Drosophila melanogaster: one gene and its partners. The protein of the gene in region 1 interacts with the protein of each later gene in a pairwise test. Each region holds a gene or a part of one and is shown in the gene's direction. Other genes may lie near its edges. The genes, in order: CG11269, CG6337, CG11404 and CG9514.

What was found.
Region 2: the proteins of CG11269 (region 1) and CG6337 interact in a two-hybrid assay, tested with the Drosophila melanogaster proteins (one large-scale study listed by BioGRID).
Region 3: the proteins of CG11269 (region 1) and CG11404 interact in a two-hybrid assay, tested with the Drosophila melanogaster proteins (one large-scale study listed by BioGRID).
Region 4: the proteins of CG11269 (region 1) and CG9514 interact in a two-hybrid assay, tested with the Drosophila melanogaster proteins (one large-scale study listed by BioGRID).

What each region holds. Positions count from the first base shown.
Region 1 is NT_033778.4:22,137,246-22,139,841, forward strand, and holds CG11269 (uncharacterized protein), read left to right. Parts: upstream 1-1,649; 5' UTR 1,650-1,696; coding exon 1,697-2,020; 3' UTR 2,021-2,050; downstream 2,051-2,596.
Region 2 is NT_033778.4:13,833,026-13,837,001, reverse strand, and holds CG6337 (uncharacterized protein), read left to right. Parts: upstream 1-1,905; 5' UTR 1,906-1,939; coding exon 1,940-2,035; intron 2,036-2,155; coding exon 2,156-3,082; 3' UTR 3,083-3,427; downstream 3,428-3,976.
Region 3 is NT_037436.4:22,546,414-22,549,844, forward strand, and holds CG11404 (uncharacterized protein), read left to right. Parts: upstream 1-2,023; 5' UTR 2,024-2,046; coding exon 2,047-2,131; intron 2,132-2,178; coding exon 2,179-2,339; intron 2,340-2,392; coding exon 2,393-2,716; 3' UTR 2,717-2,929; downstream 2,930-3,431.
Region 4 is NC_004354.4:14,893,875-14,898,639, reverse strand, and holds the start of CG9514 (uncharacterized protein), read left to right. Parts: upstream 1-1,748; 5' UTR 1,749-1,980; intron 1,981-2,237; 5' UTR 2,238-2,422; coding exon 2,423-2,880; intron 2,881-4,765.

The sequences.
Region 1 (2,596 bases):
AGCATAAAATGAATTATTCTCTTATCAGTGTGTACATTATATTTTCATAAAGCACAAATAAAATTCAGTGAAGACATTAACAAATTCAAGCTAAAAGTTAAACTGAAAGCTAAACACTTTTTTTTGTTGAAATTGCAATTTTTTTTATTATAAATGTTTGTACTGATAATTGCGCTTACAACAAAAACGAATACACAAATCAAAGCAAGTGTCTGTGTGATTGTAAAGAAGAATGTGCTAAGCAAATAAGGCAAATAACAACCATATAACTGTAACTGAAATCCCACACTGAGAAAATAATCAGCGAAGAATAATATTTTGACATCCGTCTCTTGAAATATAAGATCAAACTTTAGGTTAATACTCATTAGAAATATATCAATAAGCTATGAAATATCATTTAAATAAAAATGTAGTGATCTTATTTTCATTTTTCTTCGTGCTCTCATAAGACAAGTTGATTGATTTGCGCAAAGGGAATTCGAGACACTTAAGATATTACCAAGTTCAGTGAGCAACCGCCCTAATGTCAAGGTCTTTCGCTTGGGGATCGGGTTTTAACCTAATGGACTTGACCCCCATTTTCTGTGGCTGTACGAAATCCGCAGCTTAAGTTACCAGCAAAACATATTTACTCAATTAGAGCTGACACCTATTATGTCTCAAGTTGCAACACGTGGTGCAATAAGTAAAAAATATTTTATCAATTCTGTTTAATTTTCCTAATTTTTGATTTCTCTCTAATCGTGTCTAGTAACCCATAAAACTAACGACAATTCGCATAAACAAACATAATAAAGGAAACGTTAGTAAAACAACAGAGTGTAAAAAAGGTTTAGCAACCGCGAAAACGACTTACGAATTTTCACAACAACTTGATGTTTTGTAACGGAGTTTCAAGAAACTAGTAAAAACTTTATTGTGAATTCTTCTGCTGCTTCTTCTTTGCAAGTGTGGCAAAAATTTTGTTGCTCTGCGGATTTATCGAGAACATCAACCACTCACGGTAAGTTGTGCTAATTATTGCTTAAACTTATTTAGTTGGCTATTTTTATTGCAATTTCTTGAGCATGATTCACAAGGGGAATTCAAATCAGAGGCTGCCCTTTAATGAATCAGCTACTTGGTTGGCATGGCCTACATTCAGTTCTCTAAAAATCACTTCTGATATATAAATACGCAGAACTAAATGCAGCCACTGATTTGAAATATCAAATATATTGCAGGTCTTCGTTCTGCATAAGCTTGATGTTCTGAAGTATATTGTATACATCGTTTTTTTGACGTGCTTTTCAAGTGTTAATAAGTTGAGCTGCTTCTATATCATACTCATATGTATGTGTGCAAATGATATATCTGTCAGTTGTCCATCATTGGCTAAGATCAAATCCGAATCTAAGCCATTTCGAGTTGAACAAACCCAATCGCAACGCCGCCGAAAGCGAGAGGCACGGGTACGTGAACTCCATATTCCGACCACTCTGATCTAATGCCGCTGAAATCGCACAAGGTTGTACTTGTGTACGAGCGTATGTAGATAGATGGATGAATAGTATGTGGTCCAATACATTCCGATTTCGATTTCGGATTCGGTTTCGCTTTCGAAGTCGGCTTAAACTTGGCACCTGTTGCGGTCAGAGCAACACTCGACTACACTGTCGCACAAAGTTCGCATAGAATTGAATCGAGCTTGAAAATGTTTTGTGGTCGCAAGTGCTGTCTGTTCTGCCTGTTCATGAGCGCCTGGGGCTTCTTGATGCTGAATCTGCTGGGTATCTTCTTCTACGTCCAGTCACTGATGCTCCTGGAGTCCCTGCCCTTGCCCCACCACTTCCCCAGTCAGGAGGCCTTCAAGGAGCAGGCGGACGAGGCCTACCAGGACGTGTCCACACGGTGCTTTGTAGCCGCCGTTTTCTATCTGGGATTCGTCTTCATTGCGATAGTGGCCATTCGTCGGGATAACAAGAGAAGGAAGCGACTCTACAAGCGGGGTCCCGGTCACTTGCGATTCCGTCGTTGATTTGTATGATTGGTTATTGAATAAACAATTTATTTTCATGGTTCCAATTGCATTTCACCCACTCAGCGACGTCCACCCACTTGTTGGTTCGAAAGATCGAAAGAACCAGTTTGTTGACCGCATTCTGCGATTAGCCTTAACTTCTTTATCGCCAAGCCACTTTTCGATTTCAAGTCTGGCTGACTGTTGTCCACTCCGCATTATGCATTCGTCTCGGACCAACCGATTTTTGACAGCGCACGTGACACCTTCACCGAGGTGTGTTCTCTTTTGGGCATCATAAATTTCCGTGAAATTCTCTTTCCGAAACATGCTAATGGGAATGGGGTGTGGGTTCCCAGTTCTGGCTATTCCCCCCCCTTTCACCTCTATACCGTAGTCTAGTCTACACCGGGGTTATGTATCTTGTTCTTATCGACCGAGCTTTTGTGTCTTACACGAAAACCGTTGTGTAAATTATCGTACACGATTTTCTAGTTGTACGCTTGTGTATCTGGCTTGTTATCACCACCAACCAAGTGCAGTCTGCTGAAAACTGGTTCACTGCATTTACTCATTTTTTCGGGAACTCGGGTT
Region 2 (3,976 bases), 8.3 Mb from region 1:
ATTAAATAGACTTTTGAAACTAGCAGAGCATTCGCTGTTCGTATTTCCGGTCTGTTTTACGAATTCGATCACCGATGAGACGTGAATAATTACTGGGTGAATGAGCTAATTTGCATATGCTTAGCATAATTACATTAGTGCAAGCATTCGATTCGGATGAATTTCGAAATGTATGAATGATTTCGCGGCTTCGTCTCTCCTTTTATTTCCTCAGCTCCCAAATTGGCTCCATCGAGGGCCCAAATAAATCAAAATCAAATCTAGATTAGGCAACCGCAGGCTAAGATTTCACTTTCGTTGCCATAAAATACTGATCACATGCTGTGCCCGGTGAAAGGCGATGGATTCCCCTGTTTAAAATCAAATTTCGAGTCGAATGTAAGCAATTGCAGTTCTCTTGTCTTCGACGGACCATTATGAATCGAAAAATAACAACACACACGACACAATATGTTGAAAAGATCGACTTAATCACCTTTTATGGATATCTGGGAATGATATGTTCAAAACACCTTCCGCGTTCACAAATCACAAAACTATTCGAAGATGCTGAAGACTCGAAGACCGGCGAGATTATAAGCGGCGCTCGACCCGCACACCTTGGTTTTATAGAGTCTGGAGCTGGACCGTGGGACATATGGCCAAAACTGGATGGGCCACCAATTTGAAACTTTTGGAATACCGACAAGAGCATATTCATCTTCATTTCGACGGGCTATCTGGTTTATGGGTCTATAGCTGTCTCCATTATATGCATGCTTAGTAATTGTCGATTGCCTAATGTGTTGGTGGCTATAACAACGCATATTAACTCATTTGAAACAAAAGAGAAAATAGTCAAACATGTTTTTAAATAGTTAATAATTGATGAGATCGAAGTCACAGTTGTAGCGCCTATAGGATTACAAATTTCAATGCAGCAAGCAAAGTTTTAGGAAAGTTTTTAAAGCGTCTCTAAGTAGTTTGTACTATTATATCCCTTGTAAATAAATAACACTTTGATTTTTATGTAAATAATACAATTACAGAATGATAAAGATGCAGACGGATGAATAATGGTCTCGACTTTCAATAACTATAAATTGAAATTGAACCATGAAGAGATTGATTAGTGGCCAATTTATTTGCATTTCAATTAACAGATTCGTGGAATCTGAATTTGTTGTTGCGTCTACTAAAAAGTTCATTGACTGCTGAAATCCCTTATGGACTTACCTACATATTTGCAAAATTTCAAGATGATCCCTCATTACTACTTCGAATATATACTACCTGTAGTATATGCTAGACTACCGCAATGGAAATTACCAAACAACTCACTTAGCACTTGGTTTACAGCAATTTGGCCAAGTCTTCCAACGGGCCTATCTATCTATCTGTCTATGTATCTTTCCATCTACGTATCTATCTATCAACGCTGTTGCAACTTTTATGGGCGCCACAAAGTATGACTGTGATTAATCATGCCTGCGCTGAAGACAAAACCTGAAGACTAAACGATAAGTTGGCATTAGAGGGGCGTTTACGATGCTCCATGGGCATATGGGCTTGGGTGTTTTTTTCTGAACTGGGCCAGTGGGGATTTCGAATTAACAGAGATACGAGAACCCACCGCCGAATCGCAACGATACGAAACGGGGCATTTGACAAGTTTATTGGGCAAACAAAGCGCACCCCGACTTTTCCTACCAACGTCGGCTTATCGAGGAGACCCAACCCGGAATATGAATACTACGGATAGTACGTTTGAGTGCTGCTGGCCAAGTGCGAATTCAAGGCCTCGTAGAAATCTACGAGTATTTGCACTTTTCTTGCGAAAGTAAGTCGCTTTGGTAAACTTCTATTTGCGTTTGCAATCAGAAGGAGAGTTTGCCGGTGCCTATAAAAGATCGTTCCATGGTTCTGGCGGCATTAGTTGGTGCGGATTTGGGTTTTCGTCATGTTCAAGTTGCTACTTTGCTGCCTTCTACTAACCATCGACAGTGGATGGGCCTTTAATCATGGCCAGGATCTAGTGGACTTTCAAACTTACGAGGTATGTGAGTCATCAAGAAAACAAAGTCTGGATGGGATTTAATTAGAAATTATATCTTGTATCTTATGGCATTGAAAAGGATTGTATTGAGTAATGGAATTCAAATCTTTCCATTTACAGGACAATTTCAACAAGACCTATGCCTCAACTTCGGCTCGCAACTTCGCCAACTACTACTTCATCTACAACCGCAACCAGGTGGCGCAGCACAATGCCCAGGCCGATAGGAATCGCACCACCTACCGCGAGGCAGTGAATCAGTTCTCGGACATCCGGCTCATCCAGTTCGCAGCCCTGCTGCCCAAAGCCGTGAATACGGTGACCTCGGCGGCCAGTGATCCACCGGCCAGTCAAGCGGCATCTGCCAGCTTTGACATTATCACGGATTTCGGACTCACCGTGGCGGTGGAGGATCAGGGCGTGAACTGCAGCAGTAGTTGGGCCTATGCCACCGCCAAGGCCGTGGAGATCATGAATGCCGTGCAGACAGCCAATCCTCTGCCCTCGTCCTTGTCCGCCCAGCAGCTGCTGGACTGTGCGGGCATGGGCACCGGATGCAGCACCCAGACGCCCCTGGCTGCCCTCAACTATCTCACCCAGCTGACAGATGCGTATCTCTATCCGGAGGTGGACTATCCGAATAACAATAGCCTGAAAACGCCGGGTATGTGCCAGCCCCCATCCTCTGTGTCAGTGGGCGTGAAGTTGGCCGGCTATTCCACGGTGGCCGACAACGATGATGCCGCCGTAATGCGTTACGTATCGAATGGATTCCCCGTCATAGTCGAGTACAATCCGGCTACCTTTGGATTCATGCAGTACTCCAGTGGCGTCTATGTCCAGGAGACGCGTGCCCTGACCAATCCAAAGAGCTCACAGTTCCTGGTGGTCGTGGGCTACGATCACGACGTGGACTCCAATCTGGACTACTGGCGCTGCCTGAACTCCTTCGGCGACACGTGGGGCGAGGAGGGTTACATCAGGATCGTGCGCAGGTCCAATCAGCCCATTGCCAAGAATGCCGTCTTTCCCAGTGCGCTTGCCTAAGAAGGATTCCGATTTGACCTTATTTCAAGTTAATAAACTTAAGTTTTATGTGTAAATTTTTATATGATGATTTTGTTTCGGATTCAGTAGATGCTGTAAGTTCTTTAAAAAAACTTAATGCTAGTAAGCAATACTATTATTATTATTATAGACGCATTATCTTTAAATCAACTAGAATTCGAGTAACAGATTCGGGAATATCTATAATAACACTATGATGATACCTTAAGAGTGTGCCTATCTATATCTATGATAGTTCATAGAATAGAAGAATAGTAATAGAACCATCCAAGAAATAGATTTGGGAATATCTCAAATAAAGCTAAGATAATTCATCGAGATCTTGAATATTACATAAAGAGTAATCTTGAAAAAAAATCCCCCGTCTTCTACCAAAAAGTATCGTTTGGTTTTTTGTTGTGAAAGCTTACAGCTTTTTTGTCTCCATTTATTGAATTTACCATTTTATTTAGTTTATTTATTGATTTTTCATCTACAAGCGGAGCTTTACAGACTTAAATGCTAAAAATTAACAAGTTCACTTTATTTTCTTTTCTTTTCTTGTTTTTCGCATCTTTGATCTGCTTATGGATTTTATACTATTATCTTTGCAGTGTTTTCTTTTTCTGTTATGTTTCTCTTGCATAATAAATAAGTTTCCCATTTTGTTGCTATCCGTGTTGCTGTGATATAAAAACGAAAGGAAATTATATAGATATATATAATATTTAGGTATTATATTTATGGTTATAGAATATTCGACTCAGCCAGCGCAGACAAAAGCTTCTTTTTTTTGGTGTGTGTTCTTTCTGTAGATTTCTTAATCTTAGTTCTCGTAAATTTTTTAAGTTTCAGTAACTTGTTTGGAAACGTTGTTATTATAAATACTTCTCG
Region 3 (3,431 bases), on another chromosome or scaffold:
AAATCCTTCTGGCTGGGAAGCTAATTCCGGAATCCTCGTCAATAGAAACGGTTTCAAATTAATTAATAAAATTCTCGTTTCAAGTGGGCCAGCTAACAAACAAACAGGCAAACTAGAATGAAAAGACTTGCGTTGAAAACGAATGTTGGTGAAGAAGTTGCTTATGCCAAGGCACGTGTGTGTGGGGCTGCTGTTTCCAAAAATGCCCTCTAACAGTCAACCACCTCAGAAACTGTTTGTTGCCCAAACCAAAGAGCAAATACTTCAATAAACGAAATTAAATATTTGAGCATGGATTGAAACATTTTCCTCAGCTTTTAAGGCGGACACAACAGGGTAAATCGAAAAAGAATTGAACACATTATGCCTCGCATTGGCAACAAATTAAATAATTGCTGCAAAAAGTTTGCCATCCGCAAATATTTCGACAAATAAACGTAAATAAACCATGGGTTCTCTAGACGCTTTTTCGGTATTGTTAGAATTTTTGAACAAATGTTGCCTTTTGTTAACTCACTTAGACATCCTTCGCACCAGTTCTGGCTTTGGCCGTTCCCGTTTTGTCAAATATTTTGTTTGCCACATTGTTTAACTTTTGACCCGATTCGTCCGCCTTGCTCCATGGTTCCTCTGTAATTAGACTTTAATTGAGCAATTGTAACCATCTCAGGCGAGTGTAATTCATTGGCGTTTTTGCCAAAATTGAGCCTGAGTTCCAAAGCCAACACCTTTTTGATGTCTAACCCTGGGCAAAGGAGAAAAGGCAGCATTTTGGATCTGAATCAAACTAATTAGGCGCAAACTTAATTAATATTTGATGTTTTTTTTACCAGTTTGTCTTATTACCATGACGGCTCGGCCAAAATCGCTCCAGACCTTCTCAAACCTTAAGTGGCCCTCGTCATTTGCCTGGCGACAGACAGAAGAAGCATAATGATAACTTTAGATGATATTTCGGGATTGGGCTTAATTTGGCTGAGTTTGAAAACATTTGATAAACTTGTCGCTAGGCAGGTGCCATCGCAGAAAGGGATTCGCAATATGCCTACTGATTTTGTGGGCATGTAGAGCGATTCAAATCACAAAATGGTAAGGTCAGATGAGGCGCAAAAGTTTTTCTAATGTTTATTGGCGAACTTTTTCATTTTTTACAACTTTTGTAGAAGTTTACGTCGTACATTTCCAACCCCCCGATTGCATTCTGCCTTTTCTGTTGTTGCCTAGGATCGTCCCCGGTCATTTTAAAGTTTAAATTATACTAGGGGGGAGTCTGAGGTCTGAGTGGTCTGGAATCCAACGATTGTCAGCACATTAGGCCTACGAAGTTGTCGAAGAGGAGTGGTGGGCAGCCATACTTGGAATTAAACTTTTATCGCATCAATTCCGAGAGTTTTTCCGCGTTTCCATGGCAAAGTTTCATTGTTGGAGAATTTTCTGATATTAATTTCTTTATTTAAAATCTCCCTAGTCGCCGAGATAAGGCGAATAAACGGTACTCACCCTTCTGGGGATAGGTGCCACTTACCTGCAAGTGAAGAAAAATATATGAAAACAAGAGAGAATGCTATAGTCGAGTTCCCCGACTATCAGATACCCGTTAATCAGCTAGTGTGATTGCGAACGCAAAATTTTATAATTTTTCTGAGATATCGATAGATAATTGGGAAAAAAATGATAAAAAATTTAAAAATTGCTTAAAAGTGTGGGCGTGGCCGGCTTAGCGGCGTTTTTAGCAAATCGATAAAAATTTACAAGACTAAAACATTATGAAAAAATATCGAAAAAATTTTCTATAATTTGGGCGTGGCAGTTTTATGCGGTCTAAGTGTGTAAGAATGGGCGATAGAAATCGATATAAATTTACAAGACTAATAAAAATGTGAAAAGAGATCAACACATCTACTCTGCGAGTAACGGGTATAGTTACAATATTTGGAAGTTCTAGCTAGAGAAAACGATATTTTTTAGTCAGCAATATAGTAAAGTAGTAAGGGATCTACCCTTCAAAGTCTTATATAACTATTGTATATTTTTTACAGCCGCAACATGATTTTTATGCCTGCTCTAAACTTGCTTGTGTACAACGTACTTGTAGGTTACATAAGCATGGAAATCAATCGAATCATAAATGGTAAGTTCTTTGTAAGGACCATCTCCTAATCACTGAAGTCTTTTTAGTTTCTACAGCCCAGACAAGTCTTTGGCAGAATATTCCTATTATCGGCCAGATGTTCGCTCCGTTACAACCGGAAACCAATTATGGAGTGGAGTTCGGGGAAAGCATGTGGGACTTTAACCTATATGTAAACATCTTACTGCTTCTCCCCGCATTTTTTCAGGTAAAAGACCACATAACTCGGGGACCACATTAATGTACCGAATTCACAACCAGATCTATCACATCTCCTTGCTGGTGGCGATTGTTCTCATGTGGAACTGCTACCTTCACCAGTGTCTGGCTGCTTTCCACCTGAAGATGGTGTGGCACTTGTGGTGGAGCGACCTATGCTGGAGCTACTACGCTTCTCTTGTCCTTTTCGGATTCCTGTTGACCATGCTGCACTTTAGTCTGATTATAGCAACCGTTATGTATCAGATGCAGATCGACGGAGATCCCAAACCTCGGATCCAGTCCGAGGCTCTCCCAGAGCAGCAGCCACATCCCGCAGAGGAAATTCAGGAACGAATGGCAATGGCCCAGACCATTAAGATCTAAAAAATCAGACACTAAACGACGGAGCACAGGTTCAGCCGCCTTTAAGTGGGTCACCATCAGTCAGGGGCTTAACCTTGCCGCATCTACAAATACACTGGGTCGGTGGTTCAACTAATAAATATGCCAGAAAACACCAGACACACAGATACCCCGCACGCACACACCAGCACACTACCGCAGACCAGGACATGTACAAATGAATCGCAGCTGAGGGCCGGTCGAGCATCGGGAAATAAAACCATTAAATATTTGCGGTTAAACGCACCAAAAACAAACCGCAAAAGTAAATCATATCCAGAGCAGGCATTGGACATGGCCAAGCATCCGAGGCAAAGAATTTCTCTTGCCTCACCCGACCGTCGTCCGGCATTTGTAGGCAAAAATATTAGATTAGAAATTAGAAAGGCATGGACATGCCCCGGATTGGATTGAGATTGGGCAGGCAGCAGACCAGAGCGCCATTAAATTGGGGATGGGATGCAGGGCAGGAAACTGACTGCCAACGGCCTGCCAAAAATTCCAAATGGTCCATGGCCAAGAAGCATAAATCATTGAAACTGACATTTCACCATTTCACTGGATTTGTATGTATATGCCAAAGGTTTGGCCAATTCTTGGGGAAGAAAGTGTTTTTTGGTGGTCGAGGAATTTGCATAGATATCCGTCGTTTTTCCCAAGGAACTACTGGGACAATCGCCCTGGAGTCGAAAATATG
Region 4 (4,765 bases), on another chromosome or scaffold:
ATACTTTTTGGCGTAAATTTCAGTCTGAAAATATGAATCAATTTCATTTAATACAACATTGCTATTAACTATCGTATAAAATGCATTTATATTATTAAATTCATATGTTCGAAAGGAATATTAAAGCGGCCTTCTCTTTGAAATTAGTCCCCATTTCGCCTTAATCCCTCCCGGATATCACATTGTATAAAAATGCACAATGCAACTAGGAAGTCGTATGGAATGCAAAAATATGACTATCTATATCCCCACGAAATACATAACTTGGTGTTTTTCGGGACCACCGTCAAAAACATCACCCCATAGACAGAAATTGAAGCAATTTTCGTGGTTCCATTGAATGTCGATTAATACCACAAACTAGTTGCGTTCAATATCCGTTCGATATCAGGTGTGTAAAGTAATGTAATGACAATTACTTGGCAAAAATCGTGTTGTGGTTTGTCAATTGGCAAATACACACTGATCGAAATAAAAATAAAAAAAACCGGTTAAACAATGAAAACAATCAACCAACAACTAAATGCCACAAATTTCACTTTGATCTTCACTTTTGTATTCAACTCTTCGGCTTCTTCAATGCCAAAAACTGGTCAATTGATTGTGGTTCTTCTGCCAGCTGTCTTTTCAAGTCAAACTCAAAGCCGATAACGTGTTGTAAGTACAGTGAAGATTGTCCAAATGAAGTTATTAATGAACATGTTAGGGGTACGTCAAATATTAAATGATTCGAAAAATATCTAGAGTTACATACAAATTACTGAATAATGTACTAAAGTTTTTGGAAATTCAGAAATCATTTAAATGAATCGGTTGTGGCTTAGTACCTTGCTAAAAAAGCATATGCGAAGCGGAATCGGTTAGTATCGGGTAAAAACATATGGTAAGCCTTAGACTTTACACATTTTCAGCTATCGATGTTCGACTGTTCATCTTGTTGTTGTCTTTACTTAAAAGGCTTACGTGCGCAATCCCAACTACCCAACTGCCTGAGTAACTCGAAGTTGAAACCCGAATTTCGACTCAAAATCGAGCCCATCGTTCGCGGAGAGAAGTGCACATAACCGTAAAGTGAGCATGAAGGTCGTCTGGCGTCTGCAAGGAAATTCGAAATCGAAGAAGAAAAAAGAAAGAGGCGGTGCTGAAGGAAAAAACCGCAAATGTCAGATATATCTACGCAAGTGTTTGTGAGTGAGAGGCAGGAGCTGCAAGCGGTTAATTGTAACCGTTTCGCAATGCACAGCATCAGCCATCAACCGCAACCGCATGGCATATACATATGCATGTGACTGTACATGTGAGTATTGATGTGCTCGTGCGTGTGGGAGAGTGCGAAAGAGAGGCTTGCGAATCGGTAATCGTTTCATATTGCAAAATGAAGGCAAACGAAACGGTTCGTTTTTTAAAGATTTTGATATATTATTATATATTGTTCTTAAAAAGCCATGTAGAACAGTTTGATTTTCATAGGATTTAATAAAAACAAATGCAGTCTTATAATAAAAAATTATATATACGGATGCAAAAACAAGCAAATTAAATCCAATTAAACGTATGTGCCAATGTTTGTGATCAAAAACTGTTTTTAAAAGTCAGCTGCCGCGGAAAATGCAGTTGGATTTGCTGGAGAAAAACGTGCGCATGCGCAACCGATTTGCTGGCAGCGACGCCGGCGTCCTCTGCCACGGCTACCGCCTCTGCCGGCGCTGCAGCAGCGGAGACAAAACGTCGCAGGCCAGCTTTTGTGGCTCAGAAACGCAGCGACTGCCAACCGAGGCACACACGAAAACGGGCTGGCGAGGCGAATTATCCAGTGAACCGGTTAACCGATTATCCATTATCCATTATTGTACGATTACCCATAACCGATACCAAAATCAGAGCGCGCGCGGCCTAGCTAACTAATTTCAATTACAATTTATTTATTTTTGTTTCTGTTTACTCAATGTGTTTACGAGGCCTAAATGAAAGTGCAGAAAGGCAAGTGACTTTGAATGCGAACGTGACGATGGCACAGAGAGAAAATATCACAATAATAGTCCATGAAAAGCAGTAAACGAATAATAACCCATTCTTCACCCTACAAGCTTAAAATATTATTAACAGCTTTTTCATCTGTAAAGCATCGCAATCACCATGTTGTTTTTAAGCTAGAACTTCTCCATTTAAACGCTTCATTTTTCAATATACATGTTGAGAAACTTGAAATAACCGTATTGTGATGTTTTTTTTCCCAGTGTGCTTTGATAGTGAATGCAAAAATTCAACAAAAGTGGCACGAATAACTACTCATCGCAATGCAGTCACAGCAATAGAGCGAAACTAAACCTTAGGAAACGCCCAAAGAAATTCAAGAAAGCAAGGAAGGGCAATCCTTCCCTGAAAAAAATTGTCCCAGTAAACAGATCCCCCTCCTAAAATCATGGTTGTAGTTCCAGCTCTAGGCGCCGCCGCCGTTTCCGTGGGCGGTCTGCTCTTCAAGGCGAGTGCCGCATCTAAGGCGGCGGCGGCAGCGGGCGTAGCAGCGGCAGGAGCCTCCAAATTGGGCCTGGCCATCGCCGGTGCTATCAAACTGGCCACCGCTGTTATTGGCGTTGGTAAACTGACCATATTGCCCTTTCTGATAGCGGCTATAGCCTACTATAATTACGATCTCTTCGATCCGGAGAATCGACCATTCAACGTGCAGCAAGTGGATTTGGCCTATGATTTCATCATCATCGGTGGCGGTTCGGCGGGTACTGTTCTGGCCTCCAGACTATCGGAGATACCGCACTGGAAGATCCTGCTCCTGGAGGCCGGTGGACATGAGACGGAAATCTCCGATGTGCCGCTGTTGTCGTTATATTTGCATAAAAGCAAAATGGATTGGAAGTATCGGTGAGTCAATGTGTTGAGAAAATTCAAGATTGTACATTTTCAAAAACTATACATGTCTAAAAATCAAATACAATTGTATTGAAAAGAAGTTGTTACTCAAATTGAGTTGTGATTATTGTTCTTCTTTCAATTGTATATAAATCGTGTACCTTCTAACCTCAGCATATTTTTAATTCTACCTACACTTAATTCTTTTAAATATATATATAAATGTTTACTTCCTTATTTCGCCTGGTAAAATGTGAAATATTTTTCTACAATTTTACTGGGTCAAATAGTTGGCCTTAGCAGTGGCCGGGCGTGCCCTTTGCTTTCGCCCTTTTTTTTTTTTTGGCCAGCTCATCCCGATGACGTTGCCATTTTTCCAAAGTTGGCAACGAATTCTGTCCATATGCTAATCCGCATCGATGAGTTGTAGTCATTAGTATTCGGAATAGACCAAATAGACAGCTCAACTTGAATGGGTTGCGGGTTCAGACGACCCAAGACGATGATCATGATGATGATGATATGATGGTGCCAAAGGCCGGATTCGTTTAGTTAGCAACCGCCTGCCAAATTTCAGACTATTTGCAAGCTGTCTTCACACGCAAACAGTGAAACGATTTCAGCATTCGTGGAAAAGAAAGGAAAAATGCACTGACTTATAAGATTTACTTACATCAAATTAACAGGAAAGTCAACATGTTGGATTTAGTTTTTGGGGAAAACCATTGGGAAATATTTGGTGGCTCCTTAAGAGCGCTATTAAAATTATTAATAAATAATATTAAATTGAAAGTTATGCATTAGATCGTATTGTTTAAGCTCAAGTTTTAATAGGTCATTCATTTTTCAGCATATTGAAAGACATTTCCTTCTCATAGCACCATTAACACAGCAATTACTTTACGACAGTTTTCATTGCATTTCTCTTGATTTGTGGCTTCTGCTCTCCAGTGATCCCATTTCTTCGATCTTTCACTTTTCTCCGGCCCACTTTCATTTCCCGGCTCATCCCCCCACCATCCAGAATGTTCCAATTAGATAAAGACAAACGTAGACCATTACCATTTACCAGTATCATCTCGATGGATAATCTTCCAATTTTTTTGTTTTTCTGGCTGTGTCTCGCTTTCAAATAGCAATTAAGTGCGGCTTTATATGGCCGCTTGAGCATCCATTAACCAGAAATTTCGGCTTAACAATAAATGGAAAATGATCAGTGCTTCTGAGAGACTGATTCGAATTAGAACGGGCTACCGTTAGGCAGGCCTTTTGGACCCGAGGCTTCTACTTTTTTAGATTTTATTTTATTTTATTTATTTTTTGTTTTTGGGGTGGGCCCCACTGATTTCATTCAGATCGTTTTCTATCTCACGGCATTTCATTAATAACAGCTGATGCCGATGATCAACGGCACCCTGTGGCCACCGGCTCTCAAATTAACAAATCGAACTTCACTGCTTAATTATTCATGAGCTTTGGCATTTTTTTTTTTTTTTTTGTTTTTTTTTCTTGGAATTTTGTTCGAGCGTGTTACCAATACCGTAATCCATTTAACTGTTTAATGTGACAGAAGGCTGGGTGTTTTGGGTTGGGTCTATAGGCCTAGCGGCGATTTGCGTTCGGTTTTCTTTATGAGTCTTCTTCGCTCTTTTTGGCTTAAAGTTTCACTTTCAGAATTCCATTCAATTCCATTAGTATTCCCATTCCCTTTCATTGTCTTTCGTTTTCATACAATTCCTTTTCTTTTTTACATTCCCATTCCTATTCCATTATATTTTGGCATAATTGAATGCAATATGCGGTTAAGTGCATGCGAATTAAATCATAGGGTGCAAAACACAGTAAACAATGTAAGCACACCGCGAAATAAGTACACATTGCAGTATACGATTATTAT